Linked DNA regions of Cricetulus griseus. The protein of the gene in region 2 interacts with the protein of the main gene of each other region in a pairwise test. Links are inferred from orthologs where the notes say so. Each region holds a gene or a part of one and is shown on either strand. Other genes may lie near its edges.

The links. The genes of interacting proteins can lie anywhere in the genome.
Region 1: the proteins of Dcx (region 2) and Zbtb5 interact in binary tests that used the Homo sapiens proteins (3 or more experiments, as listed by UniProt). The two-hybrid records come from large-scale screens. The link is inferred for Cricetulus griseus from reciprocal best matches to the Homo sapiens genes DCX and ZBTB5.

What each region holds. Positions count from the first base shown.
Region 1 is NC_048595.1:98,439,807-98,443,798, reverse strand, and holds the start of Zbtb5 (zinc finger and BTB domain-containing protein 5), read right to left. Parts: upstream 2,802-3,992; 5' UTR 2,697-2,801; intron 2,627-2,696; exon of another isoform or gene 2,130-2,626; 5' UTR 1,551-2,129; intron 1-1,550. UniProt on the Homo sapiens protein: May be involved in transcriptional regulation.
Region 2 is NC_048604.1:36,707,731-36,711,682, reverse strand, and holds the start of Dcx (neuronal migration protein doublecortin), read right to left. Parts: upstream 2,805-3,952; coding exon 2,441-2,804; intron 1-2,440. UniProt on the Homo sapiens protein: Microtubule-associated protein required for initial steps of neuronal dispersion and cortex lamination during cerebral cortex development. May act by competing with the putative neuronal protein kinase DCLK1 in binding to a target protein.

The sequences.
Region 1 (3,992 bases), on a different chromosome or scaffold from region 2:
CAAGAAAAGAAGAAAGTTGTCAATTTTTTTTCTTTGGGGCAGGGTCTCCTGCCCCAGTGTCCAGACTGCTGGAATTGAAGGTGTAAGCTACCATACATATCTGAATAAACATTATCAGTTAAGCTTACTTATGCCATCCTATCTTCAAAGAAAGTAAAATGTAATAAAACAAGTTTTAGGGCTGGAAAGATGGCTCAGCTGTTAAGAGCATTGGCTGCTCTCCCAGAGGACCCAGGTGCAGTTCCTAGCACCCACATGGCAGCTCAAAACTGCCTGTAACTCCAATTTCAGGGGAACTGACACCTTCACACAGACATACACGTAGACAAAACACCAGTGCACATAAAGTAAAAATAAATTATTCTTTTTAAAAGATAGTTTTAGAATCGAATTAAGGAACTACTGGAACCATAACATATTCAAAAGGAAAATTATCTATAGCTAAAATAAGCTTAAACACTAAGAACCTACCATCTCTTCTGTGTTACAATCAAGTTAGTGCTCCAACATACTTTCTAATCTGTTCAGGCCAATAACAAAAGGATTTGAAAGGTTTTCCTTATTTTTATTTTACACATATGGGTGTTTTTCCTGCAAGTATGTCTGTGCACCATGTGTATGAGGCCAGGCAAAGGCACTGGATCCCTTGGGACTGCAGTTACAGACAAATGTGAACCAACAGTGGGTGCGGAGCTCAACCCTGGGCATCAGGAAGAGCAGGAGATGCTATTAGCTGCTCAGCCATCCTTCCAGTTCCCACAATAAAAATTTTCTAGAAAACAGAATGATAATAAATGAAATCAAAGGCACTCCCAGGAAACTGTGAAGAGCAGGGGTTTTCTTGGAAACATCTGGTCTTGTGCCAGACAAAAGGTGCCATGTAGTGTTACGTTCCATCTCACCTGCTACACTGAGGAACACAGCCTCCAGCAGACAACATCCCTACTTAAAAAAGGGCAAGTGCACAGTCATGTGCTCAAAATCACAGTGGTAAGACGTACTTATAGGTAATTTACATTTTGAAAAATTAGTTGAGTTGAAAGTTGACATGGAATCTGTATTTTGGATTCTTTTCCCCCTTCCTTAAGAAAACTGGAGGCAGACTCAAGGCTCTGTCAGCACCAGACCTTCTGTCACTCTCACTGAACACAGGGTATTGTTAGGTGTCTAACAGAATTAATGCTAAGAGCTTCAAATACTAAAATAGATGCATTTTACTGTCCAATTATTTTAATCCTTCCACTTGGATAGTCTTGAGCAGCCCCTTCTGAACACACTGACTCCTAAAATTAGGAAAATACCCATCTACAAAATACTTTCCCCCAAAATCTCTCTGCTCATCGATTCGGCAAAATTCTGCTGGAGACACATTCATTTACCCAGAATAAAAGTGGCTAAATTCCCAACAGACACAAAGTTTTGTTTCCACACAACTTTTAGAGAAAAAAAAAAAGAATCAATTCTCCTGAAAACAAACTATTCAAAAAGTCTTGATTCATTTATTTAGCAAAACCCAAGAGCCCAGAATGAGTCCTTAATTTTAACTTTACCTGGCAGGTCACCAAGTCTGTGGCAGTGGCCAGGTCTGTCTTCCCAAGCTTGCTGAGATTTCCAGAAGGGTTAAGGCGATCAGTGGAAGGCCTTCTTTTAGCTTAGGGAGTTTTCTCTAAACTCTCTCCTTGGCCCATCTGTACTCTCCCCTCGACACAACTTTAGCTTACTGCCAACCGCAAGACTTTTTTGGCAAATGAAAACAAAATCTCTAGTAAAACAATGAAGTGCCCGGTCCACCTTCAAAATCATGTAAAGCACAGCACCTCATACAAAGACTTAACATCAACACATTTTGTTAATGTTTTTGTTTCAAGCTTTGAAAGTGATGAGTTTGTTTTATTGACTTAAATAACCAAAATGTGGCTCCTACAGTACCCTCCACTATGCTAGGACAGAGACTGACCGTAGTGAGTGGCACTTTAGAATAACAAAACAAAAACCCTAACCTCCAAGCCCCCTAATTAGCCCACTGCCTTATTCCTCCTGTTGTTTACATGCAAAGCAGTCGGTCCCCAGGGGGAGAAGATGGGACGGCTGTCTCTTACCACCGCATCCCACAGCTGCTCGCACGAAGCCTGTAAGAAGTGGGCATTCAATAAATGCCTACTAAACACTTTTGTCTAACAAGTTGGGGCATTCCCTAATGATGGCTCCACCCCTGTAGTCGGCCGCTGGCTCCCGAATCCAGACCGCTTGTGGCCTTGCTCTGATGAAACGAAACCTCATCGTTCACAAGGACCCAGGACAGGGGTAGGAGAGCCACTCGCCTCCATCCCACCGGGCAGCCGCTGCTCGGCTCATCCCGCCAGGATGCAGATCGGGAGCCCGTTCCCACAGCATCCCGGAGGCTCCATCTCCGGTGGGAGATGCGCAGGGCACCAGCCCCTGCCCCACCCCGCGCAGACAGCCGGGCGTCGGGACACGGGGGACGCCTGCGCACAAGAACCCCGCTCCCACCCGCCTGGCCCCACCGAGGCGAAGGGTAACAATACCCCTCAGCAGCAAGACAGGGTGGACCAGCGGCACCGGGACGTGTCTGCGCGCTCCCCTAGCCTCGGCGCGCTCCCGGCGCTCAACCGCCTGCGCGTGAGCGCGCGCGCGCGCGCGAGCCAAGGCCACTCCAGCTGATAGGGTCGCCTCACCTGAGTCGGGCTCCGCCCCCCTTCTCCGCGCAGGAGGAGGCGGTGACCCTCCTCCGCTCGGACCGACCCCGTGGAAGGAGGCGGGAAGGTCCAGACTGGCTTCCCGGCTGGGACTTCCGCCCGCCCCGCCCCCGCCCCCGAGCCTGCCCCGAGCCCGCCCCGCCTCTCTCTCCCGGCTCCTTCTGCCGGTTCGCGCGGTTCTTTGCGAACCCGGCGGCGGCCAACAGTAAACGGATGTGAGGTGGTACATATCCCCGCCCTCATAAACCGCCCATGGCCAATCAGCAGGAGGGAGGGCGGTGCCACGGCAAGGAGTGGCGTCTGAAAAACCTGACCAATCCGCGGTCCCAGGAACGGGGCTGTGTTTACTACCAAAGCATCCGTGAGCGCTCTGACCAATCGCAGTTTGCTTTACAGCATGTAAAGTCGTTCTCAAAGGCCCTCGAAGGCGGGATCTATCACTAAGCAACACCAGGTTTGAGCTGTAGCGAAGCGACTTTGTGTCACACCCAATCAAAATCCACCATGGATGGCAAAGCTAGGGTTTTCCGTCTAGTTGAGCCAATCACAACGAAGACTGCCGGCCCTGTGCCCCTCCATTGGCTGGTGCTGACAGCTTTCCCACCCTGCGGGACCAGGGTGTCTGACGTTGATCCCCACTGAGGCTCCCTCAAGCATCGCCCTGGAGGTAGTTCCCAACTTGTAGATTTGGGGAAAGAGAAAAACGAAATCCCAAGAAGCTGAAGCGCGATCCTAATTAGTCTTAACAATAAAAACCCGGGGTCAGATATGGAGGAAACGCTGAAAGATCAGAGAAGCAAAGCAGCAGCCATAGTCACTTCTTTCCTCTAGGAATCCTCAGACCTAATTGGGCAGGGTGAATCCTGTCTCCACCTCCCTAGTGCCGGGATTAAAAGTGTGTGGCACCACTGCCTGCCTGGTCTCTACAGATAACTAGTGGCTACCTCTGCCCTCTGATCTGCAGACAAACTTTGTCAGAATACAAACAAAGCCGTTTGAATCGAATGGAACCCAAATGCAAGCTTCACAATGAGAAGGAAATGCGGCCTAGTGGTCGTCTCACCTGGGTTGCCCGGTTGTCCAGACATAGCCACGGGCGGGTCCCAACTCCAAGTCCAACTCTTGCCCATCACCGTGTTGGCTCCAGAACCAAGTTTACAGTCGCCACCGCCTTAGAACTGCAGGGCTCAACCCTCTTAGCAATGATGCAAAAGAGTCTACAGGACCTGGTGGGGAAGGGGAAGGCTCGGCGGCCACCGGCCACCCCACCGGGGC
Region 2 (3,952 bases):
GAGCAATTGCTTTCATTGTATAGATCTAAAAAACTGATTTCCTCAAGTTTCTACAGGCTAGAAGCTAACTGATCTGAATTTGAAACAAATCTCATTCCCAATATTTCATTTTCCATTTAATCTGCTCCAAGATGAGAACCCAAAATTCCTTATTCTTCACGAGGAATCTTTCCAACATCCTCAGTTTAAATCTTAACTGGAAACAGTGTACATTAATAATTTTTGCTCTTCTATCCACGTTCTTCTAGAAGTAAACAAAATAAAGGGATTTCTGACCTTTTACTCTAGATAAGAAACTCTGACAAAATGAAGAGCAAAGAAAGCCCTTTCCGGATCTTCCTCATGCCAGTTGCACTTCCACTTATCTATATGTTAGTTGGAAAAATTATCACATTATCAATACTCCCCCAGAAATAGCGCTGGATTTTTCTCAACATATGACTGAAAAAGCGTTGGCACTGTTGCTTGGGGCTTGTAAGAAGACAAGATGAGAAACTTTAATTGATCCCTATCCAGATCAGATTCTATACTGTTTGGAAACATCAGGAAATGCCACTGCACCCAGAAGTGGTATTTGGGCCCAGTTTAGCAGGAACCAGGAGAACACAGGTGGGAATAAAGCTGTGGTCTGTTTTGAAAAATCATACTGATCACCTGCACAGACTAGATTGATATGGTTTATCATAAACTTTTTCTCAGTGCACACACACACACACACACACACACACACACACACACACACACACGGGTGGGGGCAAATTTGTAAAACATTGATTGAGGGAAATCTGTGCAAAACACTGATATTAAATATAACATTTTCACTCTTACTCAGAATACTATCTCTAGTTCAGATTCTGACCTAGTGTGTATTATGGACTTTGAGTGTTCATAGATAGTGGATATTAAGACAAACTGGGAGAATCAGTGTGCTTTGTTTGTAAAAGGTATTACAGAGAAATCCCTCAACTTTGACTGAGATATAGATTTCACAGCAACTGAAGACACACACCTTATTGATTGTTGGACAGCTCCCTCGACAGAGCATGCAGATTTGGAATTGACCCCAACTGGCCTCCTTTTATTTTCAGATATGCACTAGAACAATTAACCCTTTGATGATCATGAAAGTCTAGTATCAGTGTTTGCCTATCCTCTCTGTATATGATGGAATCATCCCCCTCCGAGTGGATTTTCAAGGTCAGCTATGTAGAAAACTCTTAGATTTGAATCATTAAGATTCAGCTGGAACCACTATGCCCAAATCACTTTACATTACTACTTTGAACCACAACTACATGAAGGAAATAGGGAAATAAGGGAAACCTTCATGTCCCTTTGTCTAGGAACACAGGAAACCTCGACACAGTGAAGCAGAGCTGGGGTACTCCTACGAAGTCACCAAATGCACTGTTTCTCTTTCCTTGTTGGTTATTTATAATCTAGATTCCCTAGAGATCTGTTTGCACTGACTCACCTCTGCTCAGAGATTGGGGGCATTGGGGGAGGGAGGGAGAGCTGAATAATGTAGGAAAGACTGGAAGAACATTTTCATTGTCTCTATTCCTTGAGGCTATCCTTTTAAAGTAGCTATGGGTTAAATTGATTACAATAATTTATATGGCAATATAAAATGTTAACAATATGACACGAGATTTTCTAAATATACAAAAAAAAGAAAATGGATTTTTCTCTATTATCACGTGGGTCCACAGGTTGTCAAGGTTTTCAGCTGCCAACTCATAATATTCAGTTGCAATTCCAAACTATAGAGAGGATCTGAAAGGATTTAGGTAGAGTGACTCATTCCTATTCTAATAGAAATGGTGTTCATTAAAATACCAGACATACCTACAGCTTTCTTCCGAATTTCTCCCAATGATCTCAGCCTGTCAGACACACCCTGAAGTGAGCTTTTTAGAAGCAACAGCTGAGCAGCCACCACTTACCTAAAAGTCTAATCCTCTGCGAACATATCCAGGAAGTCCTGCATTGGGGCATGTATTTCTAAAGAGCACCAATTCCCAAGCAACTTCTTAGCAGTTCATAGGAAATATGGGCACAATTGTTTTATCTGCTAAGCCAACCATTCTTCCTTCCCCTAATGATTTCATGGCTTGCTTTGATGCTGCCACACAGAGTTAATTAGGAACAAGACCTAGATTGAATGTCACAATTCAGATTTTCCTTTGTATAACCAGGCAGATAAGCATATCTAGCATTAGCAAACCCATGTAAATTTCAACCTCAGCAGAGATGGAACCCCATGAAGAGCGACAGCTAATGGTCCCTGTTGGTGACTTTGTAATCAGAAGCCTGAGCATCAGTCAACCTAATGTTTTGTCAGACAAATAGCCTAGTTTCTTTCAAAGAAGACTAAAAATGCAATCATAAACAAGAACATCCTTTCCCTCCAGGGGCCGCCACCCACTACTTAAATTACCTTCTTCCAGTTCATCCATGCTTCCGATTTTCTTGGATCCATCGATGGTGTAAATATAGCGCACTCCCTGAGGCAGATTGATGTTGTCCGACAAGGATCGAGTCAGGTCAGCCAGCAAAGCGTCAAAACTACGGAAACGGTCAGAAGAAACAGCGTACACAATTCCCTTGAAGTATCGATCCCCATTGCGATAGAAACGTACCTTCTTGGCCTTCTTCTCGTTACTTAGTGCCTGCAGGGTTCTGGTTCTGTAGAAGCTACAGTGGGCACTATGAGTAGGACTTGGAAGACCATTCATCCGTGTTCCTCTCATATTCCTGGATGCCTTATCTCTTTCATCAAAATGTCCAAAATCAAGTTCCATATTTTATTGGAATCACAGCAACCTGATTGTTAGAGAAAGGGGTGGGGATAAGGAGAGGCAAAGAATAAGGAAGGGTAAGAGAAAAAAAAAAGGAATTCAAATATTAGCCAGATCCAGAGCTGCAATCTGCTGCCTGTGAAAAGAACTGGTTGAAAAAAGCCCGTGACCCATCTGCTGCTTGTCCCTGACCTGCAGGAATATTGATCTTAATAGAAAAGGAGGAGGGGGCTGGGCAGTTGGACTGGATGCTGGGGAGGGGGACAGGAGCAAGAGATAGAAAGGGTGGCACTTTTGGCACTGTTCCAAATTTGGGAGGAGGTGTTGAAATAGCTTAAAACCCTGGAACTTACTGACAGTGGCTCCTATCAAATTGTAACTTGGGGCAAAATACATTAAAACTGGCATCTGCTACTTCACACATGGCCACATGACTAACAGTTGTAAATAAATCCCTAGCCTGACAAAATTCCCCTTGAAGAGAAACAGGGAACTAGCCAAGGTTAGCATCTCCAGCTTAGGAAGCAGTCTTTGCATCACAATACAATGACTAGGAAGAAGGATATTTTAATTTTATTCCAAATCTTTTTTTCCTACTCTAATATGTGTATCCCCTCCCCCAGAATGAACTAGGAGTCTCTTTTAAAGGGACAGCCTCCAGGGAAAACCCAGTGTCTTTGTGCTATTCATCAAACCCTCTCCCATCAAGCTGGTGCCGCTATACAGCATTCATAAGAAATAAGCTGGGGTTTGAAAAGGCGGAGGAGGATGTTGAAAAACCAGTATTTAACAAGCTATTAGCTCTGCTTTCCTCTTGTTTCTATCTGGTCACAGAATCCTTTTTGTCTTTTCAGGTGTTTCATCCTCTCCTGGCAAATGCAGCGACACCTTTTAATGGAATAATTTCATTGTGGAAAGATTCCCAAATGAGTCCTTGAATAGCATATGGGACCTTTACAAGCGAGTACACCTTTCATTGTTCTCATTTCTTCCCCTGACTGGAGGAACATTTTGCCCTCGCAGCAGGCAATTCACTTCAAACTTGTCTATTGCCTAGGTACATTGATGGAGGCAAAAAATGGTCATCTGTCATGCTTTGATCTCCCCCCCACACACACATGGCTGAACCCCTCCCCAGTAGAAAAAAGCAC